Linked DNA regions of Macaca fascicularis. The protein of the gene in region 3 purifies or fractionates together with the protein of the main gene of each other region. This does not show direct contact. Links are inferred from orthologs where the notes say so. Each region holds a gene or a part of one and is shown on either strand. Other genes may lie near its edges.

Evidence for each region.
Region 1: the proteins of SNRPD3 (region 3) and SF3B1 fractionate together in Homo sapiens (co-fractionation; 4 studies listed by BioGRID and IntAct, with this or other methods). This does not show direct contact. The link is inferred for Macaca fascicularis from reciprocal best matches to the Homo sapiens genes SNRPD3 and SF3B1.
Region 2: the proteins of SNRPD3 (region 3) and MEPCE purify together in Homo sapiens (affinity purification with mass spectrometry; 3 studies listed by BioGRID and IntAct, with this or other methods). This does not show direct contact. The link is inferred for Macaca fascicularis from reciprocal best matches to the Homo sapiens genes SNRPD3 and MEPCE.
Region 4: the proteins of SNRPD3 (region 3) and SNRNP70 purify together in Homo sapiens (affinity purification with mass spectrometry; 6 studies listed by BioGRID and IntAct, counting the BioPlex papers as one, with this or other methods). This does not show direct contact. The link is inferred for Macaca fascicularis from reciprocal best matches to the Homo sapiens genes SNRPD3 and SNRNP70.
Region 5: the proteins of SNRPD3 (region 3) and SF3A2 purify together in Homo sapiens (affinity purification with mass spectrometry; 4 studies listed by BioGRID and IntAct, with this or other methods). This does not show direct contact. The link is inferred for Macaca fascicularis from reciprocal best matches to the Homo sapiens genes SNRPD3 and SF3A2.
Region 6: the proteins of SNRPD3 (region 3) and PRMT5 purify together in Homo sapiens (affinity purification with mass spectrometry; 3 studies listed by BioGRID and IntAct, with this or other methods). This does not show direct contact. The link is inferred for Macaca fascicularis from reciprocal best matches to the Homo sapiens genes SNRPD3 and PRMT5.
Region 7: the proteins of SNRPD3 (region 3) and WDR77 purify together in Homo sapiens (affinity purification with mass spectrometry; 3 studies listed by BioGRID and IntAct, with this or other methods). This does not show direct contact. The link is inferred for Macaca fascicularis from reciprocal best matches to the Homo sapiens genes SNRPD3 and WDR77.

Annotation. Positions count from the first base shown.
Region 1 is NC_088386.1:93,049,546-93,053,635, reverse strand, and holds the start of SF3B1 (splicing factor 3B subunit 1), read left to right. Parts: upstream 1-1,290; 5' UTR 1,291-1,319; coding exon 1,320-1,347; intron 1,348-4,090. UniProt on the Homo sapiens protein: Component of the 17S U2 SnRNP complex of the spliceosome, a large ribonucleoprotein complex that removes introns from transcribed pre-mRNAs.
Region 2 is NC_088377.1:49,007,475-49,011,685, forward strand, and holds the start of MEPCE (7SK snRNA methylphosphate capping enzyme), read left to right. Parts: upstream 1-1,411; 5' UTR 1,412-2,639; coding exon 2,640-4,211. UniProt on the Homo sapiens protein: S-adenosyl-L-methionine-dependent methyltransferase that adds a methylphosphate cap at the 5'-end of 7SK snRNA (7SK RNA), leading to stabilize it.
Region 3 is NC_088384.1:28,869,029-28,872,528, forward strand, and holds part of SNRPD3 (small nuclear ribonucleoprotein Sm D3), read right to left. Parts: intron 707-3,500; coding exon 514-706; intron 1-513. UniProt on the Homo sapiens protein: Plays a role in pre-mRNA splicing as a core component of the spliceosomal U1, U2, U4 and U5 small nuclear ribonucleoproteins (snRNPs), the building blocks of the spliceosome.
Region 4 is NC_088393.1:57,079,741-57,083,240, forward strand, and holds part of SNRNP70 (U1 small nuclear ribonucleoprotein 70 kDa), read left to right. Parts: intron 1-61; coding exon 62-143; intron 144-1,411; exon of another isoform or gene 1,412-2,245; intron 2,246-3,289; coding exon 3,290-3,391; intron 3,392-3,500. UniProt on the Homo sapiens protein: Component of the spliceosomal U1 snRNP, which is essential for recognition of the pre-mRNA 5' splice-site and the subsequent assembly of the spliceosome. SNRNP70 binds to the loop I region of U1-snRNA.
Region 5 is NC_088393.1:2,893,022-2,897,128, forward strand, and holds the start of SF3A2 (splicing factor 3A subunit 2), read left to right. Parts: upstream 1-1,307; 5' UTR 1,308-1,978; intron 1,979-4,107. Other genes in the region: PLEKHJ1 (pleckstrin homology domain-containing family J member 1), read right to left, coding at 216-282, 378-445, 610-703. UniProt on the Homo sapiens protein: Component of the 17S U2 SnRNP complex of the spliceosome, a large ribonucleoprotein complex that removes introns from transcribed pre-mRNAs.
Region 6 is NC_088381.1:90,670,537-90,673,674, forward strand, and holds part of PRMT5 (protein arginine N-methyltransferase 5), read right to left. Parts: intron 3,075-3,138; coding exon 2,911-3,074; intron 1,861-2,910; coding exon 1,699-1,860; intron 1,531-1,698; coding exon 1,453-1,530; intron 1,363-1,452; coding exon 1,304-1,362; intron 1,218-1,303; coding exon 1,095-1,217; intron 1,009-1,094; coding exon 833-1,008; intron 1-832. UniProt on the Homo sapiens protein: Arginine methyltransferase that can both catalyze the formation of omega-N monomethylarginine (MMA) and symmetrical dimethylarginine (sDMA), with a preference for the formation of MMA.
Region 7 is NC_088375.1:122,924,367-122,927,560, reverse strand, and holds part of WDR77 (methylosome protein WDR77), read right to left. Parts: intron 1,160-3,194; coding exon 1,089-1,159; intron 961-1,088; coding exon 906-960; intron 433-905; coding exon 361-432; intron 1-360. UniProt on the Homo sapiens protein: Non-catalytic component of the methylosome complex, composed of PRMT5, WDR77 and CLNS1A, which modifies specific arginines to dimethylarginines in several spliceosomal Sm proteins and histones.

The DNA.
Region 1 (4,090 bases), on a different chromosome or scaffold from region 3:
CAAAGAAGGGAGTCTGTGAGAGGGAAAGAGGGAGCAAGGCTGCAGGTCAGGAGTCACCAGGGACAGGTTATCTTAAGCTCTCAGTCCAGCGCCATTGTCCATATATCTCCCACCTACCCCTAGCCTCAGGAAAATGGCTCCTCACTGTACCCAAAGTAGACATGGGGTCTTTCTGCAAGAGGAATACACCCATACCATTTTCCTCCCTTCAAACGACCATAATGACCCATGGTATGGTTAGTATTTGGGTTGTAGGTTTATCACATGGCGAGGTACTCCTTTCTTTGTGATGGCTCTAACCTTGATAACTACCTGTTTTCCTGGGCTGCTTCCGGGACCCATCTTTCTGAGCCTTTCTTTTTCATTGTCGAAGTCCAAGATCAGTGTGACGGTACAAGGTTATGATATTTTAATTGATGTCTAGGAAAACAGAATGCATTCTGATCTATTAAAATTCCTGATTTAGGAATACCGTCTACGATTTAAGAGAAACATTTAATGAATGTTAATAATGACGATGAGTGGTTTTCTAAGAACCCATAAAGTTAAAAGGCTTTAAAAGGGTGGTAAGATTCTCACTGTGCAACTCAATAACGATTTGTGAGGCTCAACGAAATTCTTACCCAAATTATTTGCAATTATTAAACAGAAATAATGAAAAATGACCTTGAATTACAGGGCGAGAGATGAGACTGTTAAGACTGTCTTTGTAACTAAGCACTGTAAAGACTGAGACAGCTGCAAGGTGAAGTTTTCCTCGAGTTCTTCTGGTGAATTGTGGGAAAGGGATTGAACGTCTGAGGTCTCTTCCAGCTCTGAAACCGCAGTGTTTCGTACAGTGTTCATTTTTTTTTATGGGAGGGGTCTCGGGGTCTTGCTCTTTCGCCCGGGCTGGAGGTTGGAGTATAGTGGCGCGACACGATTACGGCTCACGGCAGCCTTGAACTCCTGGGCTCAAGCGATGCTCCCACCTCAGCCTCTAGAGTAGCTGGGACTCAGTGTCTGTTCTTAACTCCCCTCGTAGAACCCACTTTCCTCCAAGGCAAAGTTACTCACTTAAGGACCTTACGGCTTAGCCCGAGGATTTCCTGGGTCACCACGCAGGCGGCTTCAGGTCCCAACCGTGACTCCTCCCCCACCCACAATGCACCTCGCGGTTCCCTCTAGGTGGCAGCTGTGTCACGTGTCACCCGACGGAGCGCGCTTCTGTTTGGCGCACGCGCAGAGTGCAGCCCCCAGCTATTTTTTTCTCCGTGGCGGCGGCGACGAGCGGAAGTTCTTGGGAGCGCCAGTTCCGTCAGTGTGTTCGAGTGGACAAAATGGCGAAGATCGCCAAGACTCACGAAGGTAAGCGGTCTTTCCCTGCTTACGTGTTTTCTTGGTTGCTAGCTTACTAAGAGCCTTTCTTCCTAGGATTCTGCCTTTTCCTATGGTTTCTTTCATGGGAGCCGAGCCCGCGTTTCGGGGCCAAGGGTCGTCTCCTCCGCGCCAGCGGCGCAGGCCACTGCCCCGCGTAATGGCGTCCTCCTCTTACACCCCCGACAGGCGCTTTGTTCGGTGTTTGGGACCTGCTACTTCAGAGTAGCTTCTCTTCTCCGACCAGAGGGCCTTGTTTAAGCGGCTTCCTCAGCAGGATTCGTGGGCAAGGGATCTGGGAAGCGGGCGTGGGGAGAAAGTCTCACTCGCCTGTCGACAGTGTCGTCCGCATAGTTTATGCAGAAGAGGGTCAGAAAAGCACTGAAATACGGCATCCGCTTTTCCGGCAGGACTGAATCGAATTTAGTTAAACCGAGATTCCATTACTCCTGCCCCCGTGTGTGTTCAAGCGTCAGTGTTACTTGCTTATTTTTCTTGCACGAAACGATTTGGGGATAAAATCTGGTAGTAGTTTTCCCTCCCTTAGTCACTTTTAGTATAATATTGATCTTTTTCTTTGGAGACTGGTTATTGGAAGAGCCAGATGGAAAAGGAAAAGATAAATTACTTTCATTAACGGCCGAAGCTTTCAAACTAGTTGATCGTTTTATGGAATGCAGAGTGTGCAAATTAGGAAAACGTTGGGAATAGACTGGAGTTCATTAGGAAATATCCAGAGATGACAGGAAACGGGATCACTTTTCAGAAAAGACGAGGCATGGGAAGTTGGAACTGCATTCTTTGATTTCTGACTTGGAATCCGAGATTTTCACTGAGAACGAGACTTCTAATTCACTTTTGTTTCATATGTTCTTTCTGGGTATTTGGCTCAGCATTAGTCTGTGAAAGGTAACAGACTGAGGCCATCCAAAATTTTACAGTCAGGTAGGGGAAACAGATGTGTATGTCCTCATTCTCTCATGAGGCCAAATGCATGCTTAAGTAGAAGAACAAACAACATGTTCTGGGAACCTGGATAACGGAATTATTATGCTTAGGGTTATTTCACTGAAGAGGTTACATGTCCCTGTTTTAAAAGGATCAGTTTTAAATCGGGAAGGACATCTGAGCCTGAGAACATCTTGTAACAAGGTATTGAATCGTGAAAGGTGTGTTTGAGTAGTAGTCCACTGTGGCAGGAACAGTGGGTGCAAGGAGAGAAGAAATAAATGAATCTGTAAAGGTTGGTTTAGGACCAGAATATGAATGGCTTTGAATTTTTGGGTCACTCGGAGGACCTGAAGTCCAGCTTTCTGCTGTTTATCAGACATGCTAATGAATTGGCAATGGCTTTAATACCAGTATTATTTTAGGTATTTAGGATTTAAATGCTCTCTTAGTGTTCTTAGGCCTTATTATTTTTCTTTAGACTATCTCAAATATAACCTTTTGCAAAATAAGTAGAAAATATAAAGATGTGCTGTTTTTGTTCATTCAGGAGGTTATTCATTTGGGGATATTGATAGTATAGCTTTGATATTTATTGGTAGCATAAGATGCTCTCAAACAGGAAAATCAAAGTTTTGATCAGTTTTCCTGAATTTTTTAGAAACCCAGCTAAAAGCTTTGGTCTATTGCTATTCATTGTCCAAACTTGTTATTTTTGAGATTATTCTATCAATGTGAATTAAGTGATGCCATAAGAAAATAGCAGAACATTCAATACTTGAACACTGTCTGTGCCCATCCCTATGGGTTATAAGTCAGGGGATAATAAATGTTTAGTAGAAATACACATAATACTGACATAGCTTCTTGCTTCCTTCCTAATGACATTTTCTTGGTGGAACTCTAATTATTCATGGTCCATCACTGTTTTCTCTTGTTAAGCCATTTTTGATAAACTGAAGCAGAATTAATGCTTTTAGGGGCAGTGCTGCCATAGCACTCAGTATAAATGTTATATTACTTAGAGTAGTCTATTGTGTTAAGATTTTCTCTTCTACTTAGCTCCAAGATTGAGATAAACTGGTAACTATTTATTTATTTTGCTGTCATATTCTTTCCAAACATTTATTTTATTTATTTTTTTTTTTTGAGATAGAGTCTTGCTCTGTTGCCCAGGCTGAAGTGCAGTGGTGCAATCTCAGCTCACAGCAACCTCCACCTTTTAGGTTCAAGCTATTCTCCTGCTTCAGCCTCCAGAGTACTGGGATCACAGGCATGCGCCACCACACCTGACTGATTTTTGTAGTTTTAGAGACAGGGTTTCGCCATGTTGGCCAGGCTGGTCTCAAACTCTTGACCACAAGTGATCCTCCCACCTCGGCCTCCCAAAGTGCTGGGATTGCTGGCATGAGCCACAATGCCTGAACCCTTTCAAACATTTCTATTAGGATCAGGCCTCACATCCTCTTTAACCAATCTGATTATATTTTACCCTGGCCAATGTGGCTTATGCTTTCCAGGATTGAAATATAAAAAGAGCTGGACTTACTCAAATCAGATAAAATCTTTTAGATCTTTCCGCATATTAAATTGTGTCAGGTGTATGGTTATGAATATGCATAATCTTGCCATCCAGCAGTTCTTCAGATACTGCTGACTTTGGCAAACAAATAGGGAACACATATTCTTCTCTGTTTTGTAAGGGGAAAAATGGGTTAATCAAAAATCCTGTGTATCAGCTTGTTTTGCCACTAATCCTTTGAATTAGATTTTTTGGTACATCACC
Region 2 (4,211 bases), on a different chromosome or scaffold from region 3:
GTGGGGCGTGCCTATAATCCCAGAATTTTGCGAGGCCAAGAGGTCACCTGAGGTCAGGAGTTCGAGACCAGCCTGGCCAACATGGAGACACTCCATCTCTACTAAAAATACAAAATTAGCTGGGCGTGGTGGTGGGCGCCTGTAACCCCAGCTCCTCAGGAGGCTGAGGCAGGAGAATCGCTTGAACCCGGGAGGCGGAGGTTGTAGTGAGCGGAGATTGCGCCACTGCACTCCAGCCCGGGCGACAGAGCAAGACTGTCTTTTAAAAAATAATAAAAAATAAAAGATAATTTTTAAAAAGCCCCAATCCCAAATGCACCTTGCAATCCAAAGGGAAGAAGTTTTGGGGAGAAGTTCTTCCCATTTGGGGGGTGCTCCCATTTTCCTCTCTCTTCCCTCACCCCTTATTCTCTCTCAGGGATAGGGGTTCAGTTCGGAGGTGTCCCTGAGCCACACGTCCTCGCCTCTCCCCGTAAACGGTGGCGTCCCCCTCTCTCTTTCCCGTTCCTTCCCTTCCTTCCTCCCACCATGAGGGAATCTCCCCTCCACTCCCACTCCCGCCAAGGCACCGTGATCCTCATTCTCACTCATATTGTCAGTGCCCGTCAGGAGACTGGGCTGTTTTTGTCTGTTTCTTGGGGACGACAGATTCTGAGGAAAAAGGGCCAAGAGCTGGTTGTCGCCCTGAGAAAGTTTCTCCTCAGGCAACGGGTGCCAGGACTGGCGGCGCCTAGCACCTTCACCTACAACCAGAAACTAGCCGGCTACCTTCAGGAGCAGGGAGGACCTAAAGGCGAGGTGCAAAACCAGCTGGCGCAGCGACTCCGCAAGCCTCTCACACCTCAACCCAGGTTTCCCGCCACCAAGAAAAGGCACGAGGACGTCCTGCGCGCTAGCTCCACCCCCGGGAGGCGCGCTCGCGGAGTCTGAGGCGCATGCGCAACTGGAAACAGCGTCTGCGTTTCCGCGGCTGAGGTAATTCCGCCATCTTTCACCCGAACGTCCCGGGAAAACTACAAATCCCAGAATCCTCTTTGGTGTCACATATTTTTAGGCGGCGGCCGCAGCGCCTGATTGTTCTTGAAGCACATCTTACTAACTTTTCTCTGTTTCAGACTGCCTTTTCCTCCCTCTTTCCGTTCCCTGATTCCTCCTCTTCCTGCTGGTCTCCTTCACGCCCTCACTTTAGGATTTTGAGACTTTCCGGGACCCCACTGTCACCCCTGTCACCCGCTCCTCGGCCCAGCACTCCGCTGGCAGGAAGACCGGGCTGCGAATCTCCCCGGGAAAACGCCGTAGATTCGCTTCTTCCTCATTGGCCGAAGCGGGGGGGGCGGGGCCCAGCGCGGACCGAACCCCCGTCCCCGCCCACACTCTCTGGTATATAAGTCGGCGCGGCGCCGCGGCGGGCGTTTGGGGAGGCCCGTGAGCTGACGGGCCAGTGAGCGAGCGTCGGGAATGGGCGGAGGCGTTGGGGTCCGGGCCGTGGGTGTGGAGGCGGAGAGGAAGGCGTGGTGTGGCGTCTCCAGGTGATTGCGATTGGGGGAAGGCAGAGGAACCAGAGAACGACTCAGCCGTTTCGGGGGAAGAGGAAGTTGGACAACACCGGCTGTTTTAGTGCTTTTTATTTTTCCCCAATTCAGCAGAGAATATTTTCGAGGGGGGTGAGTTATAATGACCTATCGCGTTTTACTGAGCCCAGTTCCACTCCTGCCCTTCCTCGGCTTTGTAGGGTCTCTCTGCTCCTTCGGAAGCGCTTCTAAGAAGATGGGCAGAGGGGGGAGGTGTGCTACCAACAGCTCATGAATAATTCATGAGCACCGCCCTTCGTCGGGAAGCCCTGCCCCTCCGGATCGCGCTGACGCACGCTGCGTTTACCAAACTTAAGGAAGCGACGTCACAGGCCCTACCCCTAAGACGGGAGGCGGGGCGCCACCTCCAGCACGTGCTGCCTGTACCCGCGCAAGCCCAAAAGGGTGTGCGCAGGCGCTGCTCACTAGGGGGAGGAAGGAGGCGGGGTGGGGAGGTTGTTGGATTTAGAGCCGGGTGGAGACCGCTGAGACTCATTCCTCAGGAACAAGGGTCGGGTGTCAAGGAGACCTTTTCACACCAGGTCCCGTCCCCCGCCTACGGTGGGTGGGATCGCGCGGCAGAGACAAAGGAGATCAGTAGGGCCGGACCTAGCTGCGCAGGGAAGTAGGGTGTCAGTTTGGGGTGGTGGGCTTTTGCGGGGGCTGTGTGGGGGGTTATATTTAAACTCCCAGAGCCGTTAAGTTGGTTCGTACTCCGATGCGCGCGCAACCAGGGTGGTGGCGGAGTGCGCATGCGTGGTTCCGGGGCGAAGGGAACGCGCGCTTGCCGTGCGCGCTCGCGGCGGGGTGGTAGTGGCGGAGGAGAAAGGGGTCGGCGCACGCGCGGTTGAGTGCTCGAGTAGTTCGGGTGTCGCGGGCATCTTGTTTTGGTCTCGCGGGCGAGTGGGGCGCACTTCGCGGGGAGGCGCTTGGGCGCGAGACTAGGCGAGAAGAGCAGAGCTGCGCGCGCACTCGGGAAAGGGGGGGAAGGGAGCAGGGTCCAGGCAGGGGGGGTTAAGCCCCCTGATCCCCCTCGTTACCCCGACTGGGACGGAATAAGGGGAGGAAATGATCGAGATGGCGGCGGAGAAGGAGCCGTTTCTGGTGCCGGCCCCGCCGCCGCCGCTCAAAGATGAGTCGGGCGGAGGGGGCGGCCCCACTGTGCCACCGCACCAAGAGGCCGCCTCTGGGGAGCTCTGCGGCGGGACGGAGCGTGGTCCGGGTCCTTGCGCGCCGTCTGCGGGGTCCCCGGCCGCTGGGGTCGGTCGAGAGAGCCCCGGGGCCGCGGCCACCCCCCCCGGTGGTCCCCAGGCGCAGCAGCACCGAGGAGGCGGCCCCCAGGCGCAGTCGCACGGGGAGGCCCGCCTGTCGGATACCCCGGGGCGAGCCGCTCCCCCGGACGTGGGGGAGGAGCGCCGGGGAGGGGGCGGGACAGAGCTGGGTCCCCCTGCTCCTCCTCGACCCCGCAATGGCTATCAGCCCCACCGGCCACCTGGGGGGGGCGGGGGCAAGAGGAGAAATAGCTGTAATGTAGGGGGAGGTGGGGGAGGCTTTAAACATCCGGCCTTCAAGAGGCGCAGGCGGGTGAATTCGGACTGTGACTCTGTGTTACCCTCCAACTTCCTCCTGGGGGGCAATATCTTTGATCCCCTAAACCTGAATAGCCTCCTGGATGAGGAAGTGAGCCGCGCCCTCAACGCAGAGACCCCTAAGTCATCCCCCCTTCCGGCCAAAGGGCGAGATCCAGTGGAGATCCTCATCCCCAAAGATATTACTGACCCGCTCAGTCTCAATACTTGCACTGATGAGGGCCATGTAGTTCTTGCTTCGCCACTCAAGACTGGTCGGAAGCGGCATAGACACCGGGGACAGCACCACCAGCAGCAGCAGGCAGCCGGAGGGAGTGAGAGCCACCCCGTGCTGCCCACAGCCCCTCTCACCCCCTCACTCCACGGGGAGGGCGCCTCACAGCAGCCGCGGCACAGAGGCCAGAACCGGGATGCCCCCCAACCCTATGAACTCAACACAGCCATCAACTGCAGGGATGAAGTGGTGTCTCCGCTTCCATCTGCTCTACAGGGTCCCTCAGGCTCCCTATCAGCCCCTCCAGCTGCCTCAGTTACCTCTGCACCCCCATCTTCCTCCTCCCGACATCGCAAACGTCGCAGGACTTCCAGCAAGTCGGAGGCAGGGGCTAGGGGTGGAGGCCAGGGTTCCAAGGAAAAGGGCCGAGGGAGTTGGGGAGGCCGTCACCACCACCACCACCCACTGCCTGCAGCAGGCTTCAAAAAGCAACAGCGCAAGTTCCAGTATGGGAATTACTGCAAATACTATGGGTACCGCAATCCTTCCTGTGAGGATGGGCGCCTTCGGGTGTTGAAGCCTGAGTGGTTTCGGGGCCGGGACGTCCTAGATCTGGGCTGCAATGTGGGCCATCTGACCCTGAGCATTGCCTGCAAGTGGGGCCCGTCCCGCATGGTGGGCTTGGATATAGATTCCCGGCTCATCCATTCTGCCCGTCAGAACATCCGACACTACCTTTCCGAGGAGCTGCGTCTCCCACCCCAGACTGTGGAAGGGGACCCGGGGGCAGAGGGTGAGGAAGGGACCACCACCGTTCGAAAGAGGAGCTGCTTCCCA
Region 3 (3,500 bases):
GAGTTCGAGACCAGCCTGACCAACATGGTGAAATCCCATCTCTACTAAAAATACAAAAATAAATAAATAAAATAAATTAAAAATAATTAGCTGGGCATGGCAGTGCACACCTGTAATCTCAGCTACTTCAAAGGCGGAGGCAGGAGAACTGCTTGAACCTGGGAGGCAGAAGCTGCAGTGAGCTGAGATCACGCCACCACACTCCAGCCTGGGTGATAAAGCAAGACTCTGTCTCAAAAAAATAAAATAAAAAAAGGTCCTCCTAGAAATTTATTATAGGAGATTCATCAACCCTTTCACTTAAGACAGTATTCCAGATGCAGCAAGACAGAGAAGGCCAGGCAAAGCCTCATGGCCCCACAGGATCTCTCCATGCTGCAAGGGGAAGGGGTGGCAGTGGATGTGGAGAGAGCAGAGGTCAAGCCCTCTCTGTTCCCAGGCAGTAAGAGGGCCCCTTTCTACAAGACACAAGACAAACCTGTATTTTAAAACCTGTGCATGAAGAGCACCTACCTTGGGCCTTGAGAATAGCAGCTTTTCCTCGGCCAGCCCCTGAGCCTTGGTTTTTATTTTTCATGCTCTTTAACATTGGTGCATTCTTCAGCATGTCAGGCAAAATCAGAAAGCGGATTTTGCTGCCACGGATGTATACCTGCTCCAGCTGTGCCACTCGGCCATCTCTGTATGTGACTGTGATGTTGGACATCTAGAAGGAAATCAGTGGCTAATCAATTAACAGTCAACAGCACCAGTGGTGGGGAGGGCCTTGACTGGTGGGAGGCGGAAGTCCAGAAAAGCAGACTGACATTGTGAGAAAGCTGGTGAATTACACAGCAATCATCAGTACTAACTATGTACACTAGGGACTGCACTGAGCACTTTACCTAAACAGTTCTCACAACACCTCCAGCGTGGGTATGAGCGCTCCCATTTTTTTTGAGATGGAGTTTCGCTCTTGTTGCCCAGGTTGGAGTGCAATGACGCGGTCTCGGCTCACTACAACCTCTGCCTCCCAGGTTCAAGCGATTCTCTTGCTTCAGCCTCCCGAGTAGCTGGGATTACAGGCATGCGTCACCATGTCCGGCTAATTTTGTATTTTTAGTAGAGGCGGGTTTCAACAGGTTGGTCAGGCTCGTCTCGAACTCCTGACCTCAGGTGATCTGCCCGCCTCGGCCTCCCAAAGTGTTAGGATTACAGGCGTGAGCCACTGTGCCCAGCCGAGTGCTCCCATTTTTACAGGTTAAAAAAACCAAAGCAGTTATCCAAGGTCAAACAGCAGAAATGCAGGGAACTCCAGATTCGAACCAGTTGGCCTAGCTTCAGAGCCCTGGCTGTGCAGCAAAGATGTGAAGAGCTCTTGAAGGTGCTAAACTCTAACTAAAACAGCTTCAAACTGCTGGTCCAAACTGTCTTCCCCTGCATTGCCTGGCACTCAGATTTCAAAGGCATCATGAAGGTCACGAGTATATACCAGATGTGGTTCTGACCCTCCAGAGTGCATACTCTAGAATGTGAGACAGAACCCTATAGCTTGGGTGACTAGGGACTGAGAAATGGAGGTGGTACCACAGGGCCTACACAAAGGGCCTGAAATTACTGGAGGGGTATGAGGCAACAGCTTGCACAAGGAAAAGAGCAGGCACTGGACAGGGTCATTACTTCAGATAAGAGTCAAGTTTGTCAATAGAGGAAAGATCAATAGGGTTAAGGCAGCACTTAGGAAAGATAAATGTGTCAACAAGGATAGACGGTAGGATGGACAAATGAGGAGCCTGAAGGTGAGACCAGCTTGGCATGGGAGGGTGATACCAATCTGCCAGCATCAACCTCAACAAGTACCACGTTTACAGAAAAAGCAGCTCACTGTATAAACCTTCTAAAGGGAGAGGACTATAATTTATTCAGAATGGGTCAGCCCATGTTGTAGAGAGATGGGCTGTCTCCCAGATTTCTGTCTAGCTAGATGCCATCTTATACTCATTCATTCTTTTCCTCAAGTGCTAACAGGCCACCCAGCCTCTGCTTGAACACTCAGCGAGAAAAGAACAACTATGGGCCGGGTGTGGTGGCTCATGTCTGTAATATCAACACTTTGGGAGGTCAAGGTGGGAGGATCACTTGAGCCCAGGAGTTTTGAGACCAGCCTGGGCAACACAGTGAGACCTCATCTGTACAAAAATTAGCTGGGTGTGGTGGCACGTGCCTGTAGTCCAGCTACTCGGGAAGCTGAGGTGAAAGGATCACTTGGTTCTGGGAGGTTGAGGCTGCAGGGAACTGTGATGGAGCCACTGCACCCCAGCCTGGGCCACAGAGCAAGATTCTCTCAAAAAGCAAACAAACATAACTATGCTCTGGGGCCACCCCTGTGGTATATGAGCAGTTTCTAGAGGAATGGTTTCTAGAGCTTCCACCCACTATCCCTGTTCTACCTTCAGAGGCACCAGGGCTCCAGTTTCCCATAAATCTTCTGCTCTAGGCTCCTCACTCCCAGCCTGTTATCAAATTTTCATCCAGTTCCCAAGTCCTTACCAATCCTTTTCTTCCCCTGAAGAATACCATAACCTCTAGTGCCACAAATGAACACCAGGTATGGTTAGACTACCCAAGAGAGAAACTGGATACAACTCAGGCTCACCTGAATCTGCTGACAATTGAAATGTGTTTTGGGGCTGGGTGCGGGGGTTCATGCCTATAATCCCAGCACTTTGGGAGGCCAAGGTGGGTGGATCACCTGAGGTCAGGAGTTTGAGACCAGTCTGGCAAACATGGTGAAACCCCATCTCTACTAAAAATACAAAAATTAGCTCGGTATGGTGGCAAACACCTACTTGGGAGGCTGAGGCAGGAGAAAATCACTTGAACCCAGGAGGTACAGGTTGCAGTGAGCTAAGATCACACCACTGTATTCCAGCCTGGGCAACAGAGTGAGACTCCGTCTCAAAAAAAAAAAAAAAAAACAGGTGTTTTGGAGACTGTGCCACACTCATGACTCTGTAAAATAGACCTAAAGACCTATAGGTGAGATCCAGCTCTGCCATTTGTCAGAAGTGTAACCCCAGATACATCTCCAGGCTTCTCTGAGCCTCCGTTCCCTCACCTACAAAGCTGAGGAAAATACAAGACGACAAAGCCAACATTTACTGAACACTTATTAGACATCAAGTGCTGGCCCAGGTGATTTCCCCACAGCAGCTCATGTCACCCCACAAAATCCTACAAGGTAAAGAGATGAAGTGACATAGCCATTCAGAGGCAGATCTGTCCCCAGAAATCCATGCCCTTTCCCCCTATTCTCCTGCTTGAGGTCACACCATGCTTACATGGCCTGGCTGGAGTTTGAACCCAGTTCTGTCTAACTCACACTCTTAACCACTGCATCTGATCACACCTCCTGAAATTGTTAAAAAGTAAACTAGGCCAGGCGCAATGGTTCATGCCTGTAATCCCAGCACTTTCGGAGGCCAAGGTGGGAGGACTGCTTGAGGTCAGGAGTTTGAGAC
Region 4 (3,500 bases), on a different chromosome or scaffold from region 3:
GGGTTGGTGGGGTGGAGCCGCTCTGTGGCGGGACTCACCCCTGTCCCCATGCGCCCCACAGATACACATGGTCTACAGTAAGCGGTCAGGAAAGCCCCGCGGCTATGCCTTCATTGAGTACGAACACGAGCGAGACATGCACTGTGAGTACCTCCCGCCGAGCCTTGCCCTCTGACCCGCTCTCACTTCTCTGCTGCCCCAGCCCCTCCCAGTCTGTCCCCTCCCCCACCCTGCCACACCTGACATTAGCGGTGTCTCTCTTCCTCCTCCCTCTGTTTCTGATGTATCTTTTTTTTTTTTATATACGTGATTTTTAAAAAAAACCAAATCCCCCACAACGTGTGTGTGTGTGTGAACCTGGGGAGGTAAGTGTCACACGTTGAACCTCAGGGGCAAAGAGGGAACTGGGTGAGGGGCTGGGGCCAGTTGGAGGTGGGGGAAGGGGTCGGATTTTGGGGGAGCCTCTCCCCATTATTCCCCCCACTGAAGTTGGGGGTGGCCAGGTTGCAATGAGGACTGGCCTTTGAACCTGTCCTCTCTTCCCCCCCAGTAGAACTGGGGCTGGGCCACCCGACCCTCTGCCTCCCCAACCCTGGCCCCCCACCCTGTTCCTCAGTGGGCAGTGGGGTGATAGGCATGTTGAGCGCCTGCCCCTACAGTTCCAAAGCCCCCTTTGAGGCTGCCGCGGCGTCCACATGGGCAGGGATGGGTGGGGGAGGGTGGGCAGGGCTGCGGCGTGTCCAGGGGCCGCCGTATTAATTGATTGTTCTTATTGTCACTGCAGCCACCACGCAGCTGGCTTGCAGCTGATGCTTACGCTCCCCTTACAACACCTCAGTGTATGGTTGGTATAAGGGTTTGTATCATGGGTAAGATCACTCAGCACCGCACACCAGCCCAGCTTAGCCAGGCAGCTCAGGAGCAGCGAGGCGCCCCTCCTCCCGCCCCAGTCGCCCCCGCAGCCTCCCCGCACCCATGGCCCTTTCCTTGTTTGGGTGCCCTTTGTCCCTCCTGCCCCGATCCGTATGCTCTCCGAGAATCTTGCTGATCCCAGGAGGGGAAGGATGAACCCGGTAGGAAAGGCGGTGGCCTCTCCGCTTGGGTTCCACCCAGCCTCTGATGACCCGGCTTCGCGATGTCAGTGGCGAGGTGGCGGGAACACCGAGGGCAGGGCACCAGGCCAGGGCTCCACTGGAACCCTTCAGCCTTCCCTCCCTGCCCCCGTGCTTTCTGTGGGGCTGCTACTGTGCTGGCCCTGGAGAGTCTTTTTGGCTGCTAGTTTTGGGGTGCTCTGCGCCCTTCCTGTCTTCCTTACTGTGGTTGAGGCCTCCTGAGGGGGCTGGCTGTGGTGTCCAGCCGCTCTCCAGAGGTGGTCAGGAGCTCCCCAAAGTGCATGGAATTGGGGCTTGGGGTGTGGGAGGGACCAAGGGGTAGGCTGCCAGCAGCTGAAGGTGTCAGTAGGTTTTTACTAAAGAACCTTCCACTGTCTAGAGACTTGAGAGAGGGAAAGAGAGAGAGAGGCCTAGACGAACACAATCACATGTTTTCTTTGCTGTTCCTCCCGGGATGGGCCTCTTTTGGGGTTTGGGACTCTGAACCCGAGCGGGGTTCCTTCGCTTGACTTTGATCCTGGTCCTTAAATGCCTTTCCCCACTCCCCTCCTGTGGGTTCAGGGGCCAAGTGGCCCCTCCTCAGAGCACGGGCAGCACCGTCTCCTGGACCCCTGTGTGCCAGCCTCTGCAGACGCAGCTGGTGGGAGGGAGCATGGAGTTGGAGGTGGAGAAGTCGCGGGGGGTGGGCTATGTGCCTAGTTCAGTGTGACTTGGGGACTGGTGAGGTTGGACAGGTTTTTGAGGCCTCCCCAGCCTTCTTTGTAAATTCACACGAGATAGTCCAGGGCTTTCCAGAGCCCAGCTTGGATGATAATCCTCGTCTCCCCGACTCTAAGGCCTCCTTGAGATTTCTTTGGGGTCCACCACATCCTCTGCCTGTCTCCAGGTGGTACAGGAGATGTGGTTCCTCTCCCTCTCCTGGCTCCCTAGAACCCCCAACTTCCCCTCCCTGTAGCTTTAGCTGACCCCATGGTGGTGGGTGTGGGGTCTGTGCGCGTGCTCAGGTAAGCTTGGGGGCTCCAGGTAAGCGGTCCCGTGTCCCCCCCCGGGAAGCCCGCCTCCTCGCCAGGCCCCCAGGAGTTGCCGAGCCCCCCCCATCCCGCTCGGTTTGGACACCCGCAAGGCCGGCATCGGTAAATGGCACCTTTTTCTCTTCCTCTGGTTGTTATTTGGGGGGGAGCGGGCTGGGGCGGGGCAGGGTATTACGGTTGGTTGAGGACAGCCCCCTAGGCCAGGGCTGGGTGGGGGAACAGGGACTTTTTGGCCTTCCCGATAGCCCCACGTGATCACAGGCCAGGGCCTCAGGCTTGCCTTCTGCTGTGCACTACCCGAGAGCAGCAGTGAGCCTCTCCCCCATCTCCCCTCCACGACTCCCCTTTCCTGGCAGGCTCAGGCTGGGGTGCGCTCCCAGCATGTGTTGAGCCGGGGGTGTGGAGGGCGAGATGGGGCGGGGCTGGGGGGGAGGCAGAGTCAGTCATCTCAGGTAAGGCAGGGATTTTCAGTAGCACCGCACGGCTCCCCATGCTTCCTCCACTGCCCCTCTCCCCTGCTGCAGGGGCCCTACCAGGCCCCCTGGGAGTGTATAACCCGCCTCTCTGCTCCCTGCCATTTCCTGAAGATTTCTCCCACCCCCTTCTGGTTCATTTTCTGTTCTGATGTCTGTTCCCCCCACACTCACCCCCCTCCAAAAAAAAACAAAAACAGAAAAACCGGTGTGGTCTGGGGTGCGGAGCGTCCCAGCTGGGCCTCCTGCCCTGGCTTGGTGTCTCAGGGTGCATGCTTGGGGTTGTGGAGGAGCCCCCTCCCCCACAGCAGAGTCCAGCGTGGAGTTAACCTTCAGTTTCTTTGCAGCGATTTTGGCCGCCCTGGCGGGAGGGGGCTGTTCCATCATGTGGGAGAGGAAGGACGGGGGAGCCCAGGGGGTGGTGGGTGAGGGTGAACATCTCCCTCGACCAGGAGTGGTTGGGGCGCCGAGAGGAAGCAGAGGCTGAGATGGAGCAGGCCCTTCGCCGGTTTGGGAGAGGGTTGGTCTGGCTGTCAGTTGCCTGGCTGTCTGTTGGGCGTGTGCGTGTGGGTGATGATGGGGACACGGGGCGGGGATTCTGTAGACCCGGGCCTGTCCTGACTAGAGGACCCTCTGGGGACTCCTCCCCTCCCCCTCCCCACATCTGTTACAGCCGCTTACAAACACGCAGACGGCAAGAAGATTGATGGCAGGAGGGTCCTTGTGGACGTGGAGAGGGGCCGAACTGTGAAGGGCTGGAGGCCCCGGCGGCTAGGTGAGCACGTCCCGCCCTCAACGGGCTCTCGGGGACCCTGGACCTGGTGGCCTTGTTCTCCCTTCTTTGCTGCTTTCTGCTTCTCTGTCTCCTGCCGGCTCACGTCTCC
Region 5 (4,107 bases), on a different chromosome or scaffold from region 3:
CCAAGCTTAAGTGGACTTGGCAGGTGGGCGGGATGGTGCCCGCCAGGAGAACCTGACCTTGAGCTGCCCGTGGACAATGCATTCTTATGTCTGGGGAGGGTGGCGCCAGGCTGGGGACATAGAGGAGGCCTTGAGCGCCTGGGGAGGGGACAGTTGCAGCGCTGCTGGTGCCCCGGGCTGCGGGAGGCGCCGCTGGCTTCCCTAGCCCCACTCACTGATAGAGAAGGCGCCGGGCTCTTCCCGGATGACTCTGCACCGCTCCAGCAGCAGGGCTCCGACGGGCTGGAGGAGACACGGGCGCCGGGACGGAGCAGTGAGCACCCGGCCTCCGCGGGGCCCCAGCCTGGGACCCGCCCGCGCGCCCTCGACGCCCCTACCTCGGCCTCGTCTGTCCGGAAGTAGAAGAGGAAATTCACCACCAGCTTCACCAGCCGCCGCTTCAGCACTGCGGGCACAGCGCGCGCTCAGGGGCGCAGGCAGCCCCCGCCCGGACCCCGGCCTCCCGCACCCGGCGCCCCGACCCGGAATCCGGCCTCCGGCACCCGCGCCCGGACTGCGGCCCCAGCCTTCCGCCCCTGGCACTGTCCCGGTCTCCCGGGTCCCGCTCACCGCTGCCCTTCTTGGGGCCCCTCATGCCCAGCTCGGCCGCCATCTCGGCCGGCTGCCGGGACAGCGCCTGCAGCTCCTTCTCGTTGTACCGCATGGCTTCGCGGGGAACGGGAACCTGGACCGCGCCCTCCCGGCCGCCGTCCCCGTTCACGCCGGGGCCGGCGCCAAAAAGGTCTCAGGGCGCAGACACGGAAGCACCGCCGGGGCTAGTGCGCCTGCGCACTTTGGGCCGGCCATGCCGCCAGTCTCCAGTGCGTGGCGCTGGCGACCTGGGGCGGGGGGCGGGGGGGCGGTGCACGAGTTGGTAGCGGAGACGGACAGTCGTTACATAACCATTAAATTGAAATAAACCAGACAAAGGTGGAACAGCATCAAGGCACCCCCGCGATGGCTGGCACCCCTTCCTAGAGCGGCCAGGCGCAGGCGGAGGGAGCGATAACGTCTCCCGAAGAATGTCAGCCGCCCCTCGCGAAAGTTAGCCCAGCGCGGCCGCAGCGAACCAAGGGTTCGTTGGGGGCGTTGTGCGCACGCGCGGTTTGCCTTCCAGGCCGGGCGTTCAGCCCCGCCCCCTCCAGCCCTTTCCCTCGCGCCTCCTGACCCTCTGACTTGCGCCGCTGGGCGGGCCGGGCATGCGCACACCAGAGGGCCCGCCCCATTTGCCCCGGAAGTGCTTTCTTTGACCGCGACGCGCGTGCGCCGAACGAAGTCGTGGCGGTGGCGGATCGAGGAGATAACGCGCCCTCAGGCTCTGGTGAGGAGTGGAGCCGGTTGAGGGTGGCGGCCGACTCGGACCGGGGGTTCCCTGGGGAAGAGCGGACGTAGGAGAGAGGAGCTTGCGACAGGCCGCAGGCCGAGGGGCGGGCGGCGGCGTCGCTCCCCTCCCTCCTCCCGTGAGCGTCCGGCCTTGTGCATCCTGTAGGTCCCGCGTTGGGCGGGCCCGGAGGGTCGGGCCCCCTCGGAACTCTATTTCCAAACTCCTGTTGGGAGGCCGCGCGCGGGGGCTCACGCCTGTAATCTCACCGCTCAGGGAGGGCTTGGCGGGAGGATCGCTTGAGGCCAGGAGTTCGAGACCAGGCTGGACAACACAGCGAGACCCCATCTCTACAAAAAAATTTTAAAAATTAGCCAGGAGTGGTGGTTGTACCTGTAGCCCCAGCTACTCGAGAGGATCGCTTGATCCCGGAATGTCGAGGCTGCAGTGAGCCATGATCGCAATTGCACTCCAGCCTGGGCAACAGAGCAAGACCCTGTTTCACAAAATGAAAAAGAAACAACTAAGACTCGTTGGGATCAGATCGGGATCGCGGCTGAAATGGTTTGGGCCTCCTTCCTTGTAGCCGAGAACGCTTCTGCATGCTAATCTATACCTGTGAGTTCACTGGGGCTCTGTGATGTAACTCCTGTAAGCGTCATTCCCCTTAAAACGGGAGTGACAGCTTCAACACCATGCCAAAGGGGACCAGAAAACGTTAGCTGGCCCCATTTTGCAGGTGCACATGGCTGTGACCGTTGTTCGTGTGTATCCTTGGAGAACACCAAACAGCCAGGGGGAGCTTTGGAAAAGAGGTTGTTTGCTGGGTTTAACGAGAGAACGGTGTTGCCACCAAAAACTAATTCCTTCCCGCTGGTCCAGCCCCAGGTCTCGGAGGCCACCTTTCCTCAATTCTTAAGTTCATTTCCCCTGGTCGTCGTCGGTTTTTTGTCTCTCTGTTTGTTTTGAGACAGTGTCTTGCTCTGTCACCCAGGATGGAGTGAGTGCAGTGGTGCCATCACAGCTTACTGCAGCCTCGAACTCCCATGCTCAAGCCGTCCTCCTGCCTCAACCTCCCAAGTCGCTGGGACCACAGGTGCTCACCACCATGCCCGGCTAATTTTTGTATTTTTTGTAGAGACGGAGTTTGGCCATGTTGCCCAGGCTGGTCTCGAACTCTTGACCTCAGGTGATCCTTCCCCCCCCCACCCCCCCACAGCCTCCCAAAGTGGTAGGATTACAGGCATTAGCCACTACACCCGGCTCTTTTTTCTATTTTTTTGTAGAGATGGGGTTTTTCCACTCTGTTCCCTGATCTTTACTTTAGTAAATAACATACTTCTTCCTGGATTTATCAATTTGTAGACATCATCTGCTGATTTCCTGTCACGGCTGTTGAGATTTTCTCCCTCCTATCCACCCACTGCACCTTCGCCTTCCATATCCTGAATGAGTTTCTGTCGTGAGCACAGTTGGTCATTGGTTGTATTTTTTAAATAAGATGCAAAATGTTGTTGGCTGCTCAGGGCCGGGCGCAGTGGCTCACGCCTATAATCCCAGCACTTTGGGAGGCCAAGGCAGGTGGATCACGAGGTCAGGAGATTGAGACCACCCTGGCTAACATGGTGAAACCCCGTCTCTACTAAAAATACAAAAATTCAGCCAGGTGTGGTGGCGGGCACCTGTAGTCCCAGCTACTCGGGAGGCTGAGGCAGGAGAATGGCGTGAACCCAGGAGGCGGAGCTTGCAGTGAGCTGAGATCACGCCACTGCACTCCAGCTTGGGAGACACAGCGAGATTCCATCTCAAAAAAATATATGTATATGGCCGGGCGCGGTGGCTCACGCCTGTAATCCCAGCACTTTGGGAGGCCGAGGCGGGCGGATCACAAGGTCAGGAGATCGAGACCACGGTGAAACCCCGTCTCTACTAAAAATACAAAAAATTAGCCGGGCGCGGTTTTGGGCGCCTGTAGTCCCAGCTACTCGGGAGGCTGAGGCAGGAGAATGGCGTGAACCCGGGAGGCGGAGCTTGCAGTGAGCCGAGATCGCACCACTGCACTCCAGCCTGGGCGACAGAGCGAGACTCCGTCTCAAAAAAAAAAAATATATATATATATATGTATATATGTATATATGTATATATATGTATATATGTGTATATATGTATATATATGTATATATATGTGTATATATGTATATATATACACACACACACACACATACACACATGTATATGTATATATATTTAGTTGGCTGCTAAAACAAGTAATGTGTTCAACTGGGCTTTTGTTGTAGCATTCTATTTTCCCTTAAAGCTAATTAACTTTGTTTTTACCATTAGCCTTTCTTTTCCCTACTGTTTGTTTATTTCCCCACAAAGCTCCAGCATCTCACACCTATCAGTTGTGTTTTGCACAGGTTTAAATGAATTGATCTCCCCCTCCCCACTGCCCTCCAAGACTCCCGTATCCTCCTCCTCCAAATGGGACTGATTGTGCTCTGCCTGGGTGGAGCTGGTGTCCCAAACCTTCCTGTCCTTGCTGCCCTGTGCTGACCTCTGTTCCCAGTGTGGCCATCTTTTCCTCTTCCTGCTGTCAGAGCAGAACTTCTGGGAGCTTTGGAAGAAATAGATGATTTTTTTCGGGGATGGGGGAAGTCTTTGATTGCCTGAAAATGAGTTTATTTACCCTCATAGTTAGAAGTTTGGTGGGGTATAAAAATCTAGATTGAAAATCCATATTTGGC
Region 6 (3,138 bases), on a different chromosome or scaffold from region 3:
GCACAGCAGGAGAGTCAAATTAGTTCCAGAGGGAGGGAAATGGTGTGTCTGTACTAACTGAAGGATCAGAAGGATCAAACCTCCCATGTCAAAACCAACCAACGTTGGCATGGGCATGGAAGAAAGAGACAAATGCATGTTGTCACATTATTAAGCCAGCCTTCCAACTACTGTCACGGATGATTCCACTTCTAGGTTAATTTACAGAGTCACACAGATAAAAACTGAAAGAACCCAAGATAGTCTAATCTGGTAGTTCTTAACTTTTGTGGGGTCACAAAGTCCCATAAAAGTTCCTGATGAAAGCTAAGCTCAGGGTACATACGTCAGCTCAAGGAGTCCATTCCCCTCATTATTTTTTATTTCATTATTATTATTTTTTTGAGACGGAGTCTCGCTCTATTGCCCAGGCTGGAGTGCAGTGGCACAATCTTGGCTCACTGTAACCTTCTCCTCCCGGGTTCAAACGATTCTCGTGCCTCGGCCTCCCGAGTAGCTGGGATTACAGGCGTGCACCACCACGCCTGGCTAATTTTTGTATTTTTAGTAGAGACAGGGTTTTGCCATGTTGCCTAGGTTGGTCACGAATTCCTGACCTCCCACCTTGGCCTCCCACAGCACCTGGCCCACTCCCTTCATTTTACAAATATGAACACTGAGGTTTGAAGAGACGACTTCATTTGCTAAGGGCACAGAGGCAGTGGAGCAATAGCTCTCAAACTCATATGATGTGACCCAGGTCCAACTCACTTTCCCCTAAACCCTGTACCCTCCTCCCAGGTAGATGTCTCATCCATCATCACCCTCCACCTACACCCCAACCTGGGTGCACCTTTTAGGAAGTGCTGGGCTCCATCCAGGCACTCAGGCGACAATTCATTGTCAGCAAATGAGCCCAGAAGCTCGCTGACAATGATGTCTGCTTTCTCTGGAGCCACCCATTCCCTCATGTCTGATGAGACTACGGTCACTTGGCTTCCCCATTCTTCAAACTGCCAGTTCTCTAGCCTGAAACAGAGACAATAAGGTGAGGAGACATGTTAAGGAAATTTGGCAATGGGGACTAACTTCCTAGCAAGCAGGCTGCTACTCACGTCACCACGGCATTTGGGTTTTTCTCCACAGCATACAGCTTTATCCGCCGGTCAGCCTGCTTGGCTGCCCGCAGGGAAGCGTTCACCAGGGGTCCCCGTCCTGCTCCCAGCACCATCAGTACCCTAACAAAGAAAGGGAAGAGTCAAGCAGACTTGGCATATACAGATGTAGATATGCAAGTCCCTGGGATTGAGGGGAAAGCACTCACTGGACATTGGTATCCTTCTCCTCTTCTGGTACTCGGTCTAGCAGACATTTATAGATGGCCTGGAGGAGAGAATATCCTATGGTTGTAATCCCAATCTCCCTAGGTCATGCTAGCCCTGTGCTTTCCTCACCCTGCATACCACACAGTACCTGCTGATACTGAGAGTATTTGATAGGGTCCTTTTCAAACACTTCGTATGTCTGAGATTCCAGATTGTCCATCAGTGGCTGATGAATGAGGAAAAGGATAAAGTTAGCCAGTTTCTGGCAAAGGACAATGCACTAAAATATCAAAAACTTTCCACTGCTTTCTGAGTTTTAGTAACATTTGGAGGCATATATTCTCAAGATACATTTTCACCCCACCTTCCTACTCTCAGTGCACTCCAGACCCACCTGAAGCGGGGACTGCAGATAGTCTTCATAGCCCTTGGCAAAGAGTTCATAGGCATTAGGTGGAGGACGGTTCTGGCTTAAGTATTCCAAGTACTGAAGGTAGGAGCAGAACTCCTTCTCTGAGTGGTGGTTGGTGCCTGTGATGATGAACTGCACCTCCAACTGTAAGAAAAGTCAGACTATCAGATACAGCCCGCAAACCAAGATTCGGGGCCCAGTGTAAAATATGGCCCAGATCAACAGCTCTCCTTTTTTTTTTTTTTAAAGATGGAGTCTCGCTCTGTTGCCCAGGCTGGAGTGCAATGGCGTGATCTTGGCTTACTTGCAACCTCCACCTCCCAGGGTCAATTCTTCTGCCTCAGCCTCCCAAGTAGCTGGGACTACAGGTGCGTGCCACCAGGCTTGGCTAATTTTTGTATGTTTAGTAGAGACGGGGTTTCACCATGTTGGCCAGGCTGGTCTCAAACTCCTGACCTCAGATGATCCATCCGCCTCAGCCTCCCGAAGTCCTAGGATTACAGGCGTGAGCCACTGTGCCTGGCCCAGACCAACAGTTCTCTAGTATCTGTTCCAATACCAACAAAGGCAGCATGAGGCCTCAGTAAACTTGTAAAAAGCCCTCTTGGCCGGGTGTGGTGGCCCACGCCTGTAATCCCAATACTTTGGGAGACTGAGGCAGGTGGATCATTTGAGGTCAGGAGTTCAAGACCAGCCTGGCCAACATGGTAAAACCCGTCTCTACTAAAAATACAAAAATTAGTCGGGTAGTAGTGGTGCACACCTATAATCCCAGCTACTCAGGAGAATCGCTTAAGCCTGGGAGGCAGAGGTTCTGGTGAGCTGAGTTTGCACCGCTGCACTCCAGTATGGGTGACAGAGTGAGACTCTGTCTCAAAAAAAAAAAAGAAAAGAAAAGAAAAGCCCTCTTATGCCATAAAAGTATCATCAACACCCAAAGAGCCTCATGGATCCTTGCTGTAACTTCCTAAATGAAACCTTCTGCAAAGTTCTCATGAGGTTTGGTTTGTTTTGAAAGGTTTCTAGGGCTATTACTGGCATTTATCTTTTTGTTCTCAAGACTCCCAACTTCACTGAAATTGCTCCCCAGAAACCAAAGAAAAAGAGTCAGCCTCACAGGAAAAAACGATCATACACAGGTAAATAAGGCAAGATGTATAGCTGGACCACCTTTAGAACCCTCCTACCACTCACCTTGAGGAGCCGGAAGATGAGCCTCTGGTGCATCTTAGAAAGAACAGGAAATCCCTTCTTATTGGTCAGGAAGATGCTAGTGGGGAGAATGGCTGCTTTGATGGGCTCCCCAAGCCAGCGATCAATGACATGATTAGATGGGAGGTCAGCCCCAATTTCAAGAGCTACATGAGACAAAGAAAAACTGTCAACCACTGCCAGGCAAGAAACCCTTCCTTGCTCCTTTGT
Region 7 (3,194 bases), on a different chromosome or scaffold from region 3:
ACGTCACCATACACACAGCCTCATGACCACGATAGCTCTACACCTACCCACAGTAGAAAAGAATTCGCTGTATAGCAATCCACTTGCTTTGTGGCTCACTGACTTATAGCCATGCCCAGAATATAGGAGCTAGATCCATCAATCAAAAATCAAATCCACTGGGAAAATAATCATGTTCTCCAAAGCTACACTAAAACTACCTTGGCATCACCCCACCTCCCCACCCTCAATTCATAATTCATCTAGTGTCCATGAGGGCTAAGACTGAGCAGCAAGGGCCTTGTGCATTGTGGAGTCAGCTCTTTCTCTTTCCTCCTCCCCTTTCCCAGAGTCAATATGAAGTCTGACATGCTGCCTTACCAAAGACAAAGACTTCACTTTGCTGAGGATGCCAAGCCAGTGAGGTAGGAAGGTAGCCAGGCGCACTGCAGCCTGCAAAGGAGAGAAGAGGGTCTGGACAAAAACTCAAAAGAGTCCAGAAGAAGCGGTTTCTCAAATGACATCACTCTAAATCCTGGGAGCACCTTTATTTGATTTCCCAAACCCTGCTAAGGCAGCAGTGTCCTCATCCTTGAGCCTCATAACCATTTATCCACCAGCTTCCTGCCCTTTCTGGACATGAGTCACAGGCAAGTTTCAGGCACAAATCATGAAGATAACAATTCTGGCCCCTTTGTCCTCCCGTCTAATAAAGTAAATCAGCCACCCAGGAACTGGCCCTTCCTCTTGGTATGCATTGCAAGAATGGGGTTAGCAGAGTCTCAGTGGAAAAGAAGGAGATTATGTCACTCATGTCACAGTAACTACACTGGGCATCTGGCAACTATGCTTTGACACTGGCCAAAGAAATTCTCTTCTATCAGGGTTCCAAGTACTACTCTCCCACCAATGAATCTCAGACTCACCCATCTGTGATGCTGGCTTGGGACAGCGGGTATCCCAGAGTAAAATTCTGTTGTCCTAGAGGAAGGCGGAACAGAAAAAGGATCTCACAGTCCAAAGCGCTGCAGGCCAGAAAGTCTCCACACTAGAGACTTTGGCCTATGGAGGGCTGGAGTGTGTTTAGGGAAGAAGGAGCTATCTCTTACCTCGCTGCATGAAAGAAACACAGAGTCCTTGTGAGGAGAGGCAGCAACACAAGTGACCTGTGCAGCATGAGCTATAAAGGAGAGAGAAAGAGAAACATGATAGAAAACAAGCTGAAGCATTACAAGAGGGCCAGCCCAGGAGTAATCAAGGTGCAGGAGGGAGGGAGGGCTGGTCTCATGATGCAATTTAACAAATTTTGTGGGAGATTATGGATCAGACAAAAGCTAAGAGGAGAAGTTTATACACTTATAAAACCTAAAAAGCCTTGTAAAAAAAAAATGTATTAGTGAAAACAATGAATGAGAAATTAGGAGCTTATTAAGAATAACAAAGGAATTTCCAGTTAAGGCATCTTAGACGTGAGATCTAAATAATTCTAGAATAGCAGTCTTCATACTGGAGCACACATACCTCCAAGTAGTATACAAAAACTTTCGAGGGAGTTCTGGGCGCTAATAGTATTAAGAGAGCCAATTTCTCTAATGTTCTCTTTCTTAAAATTGAACTGCCTCTATTTTCACAATCACCCTTCTTCCACTTTAAAGAAAGAACACATACCTGTCATTCATCCCAGATCTTTCCATGGTACAATGCTCAGGGGTATAAAAACATAAGGGTTCTAAACTAAGGCACAAAAGCGGCTTTTCCCTAAGAACCGAAGAGCAAAAAGAAAGAGTATCTAGGTAAAATTCAATGAAGGGGGCGCTGATCTTGTTTCAGTCACACCACAAACACAAGTATGGTTCTGTAACTTCACTCTGTTTCTGTCTAATAACGAGAACTAAAACATATGACAGATCGTTGTGATAAGGACATATTCAACAACTTTATCTGAATTTAAAAACAAAGTCAGACTTTTTCTGATGGAAAATTTAGTCTAACTTGGTCCACTGGCTTTACAATGCAGATTGGCTTTTGCCAGTTAGGCTATTTGGTAGACATTTGTACAAACTAAATAGGATTAACCTGCAAACCTAAAATTTGGACAAATATACGCTTGAAATAAGTATATAATAAATTATATGCCAGAAATTACCTTCTCTGCAACTACTTAAAAAATTTCTTTAGGTATCAATTTTAAAATGTATGAGGGGGCACAGATTTTCAAAATTGTTTTAGGAGGTCTACATGTAAAAAACTTTAAAGTCACTGCTACATGTTAATTGGAAACTGTGGAAACCTCTTCCACAGTCATTTTACCAGACTTTCCCAGGTAGTCTGAATGTGGCCCTTCCCTGAGGCAGAAGGATGGAACTAAACCAGCTTCCATAGTTCTTTCCTAGCCCTAGAATTCATAGAAAGTCAACAGAATAAGAAGTAAGAAAAGGAATTTATTGCTCACTTGAAAAAAGCAAAGCTCTGGGACAAGCATCATGGTGGTAAAGAAAAGATGAAGAATACATGGTTCCTCTACCCTCAAAGGTTTTGGGGCAGGATGCAGTGGCTCATGCCTGTAATCTCTCAGCACTTTGGGAGGCCAAAGCGGGAGATCCCTTGAGCCCAGGAATTTGAGACCAGCCTGGGCAACATAGCAAGACTCTGTCTCTACAAAAAATTAAAAAAAAATAAAGGATTTGGAATTCAGCAGGGGGAATAAGACACAAACACAAAGAATAACAGAAAGGCTGCATGGCAGAAATGCTGAAAAAGAGTTAGCATTAACCAGGAAAGCACATATGTCTACGCAATAAAAGGCAAATATAATAGACGTAGGGCATTGACTTTTTTTTTCTCTCCTGAAACAGCTTCACTCTGTTGCCCAGGCTGGAGTGCAGTGACGTGATCTCGATTCACTGCAACCTCCGCCTCCTGGGTTCAAGCGATTCTCGGGCTTCAGCCTCCCAAGTAGTTGGGATTACAGATGTGCACCACTATGCCTGGCTAATTTTTGTACTTTTTAGTAAAGACAGGGTTTCGGCATGTTGGCCAGACTAGTCTCTTAACTCCTAGGCTTCATATGATCTGCCTACCTCAGCCTCCCAAAGTGCTGGGATTTCAGGCGTGAGCCACTGCGCACAGCTGGGCATTCAACATTATTGTAAAACTATTTGCAAGTGACCCTGAAGGTCCAGGATACTGGACCTTGGATATGAGTCTGTGATTTC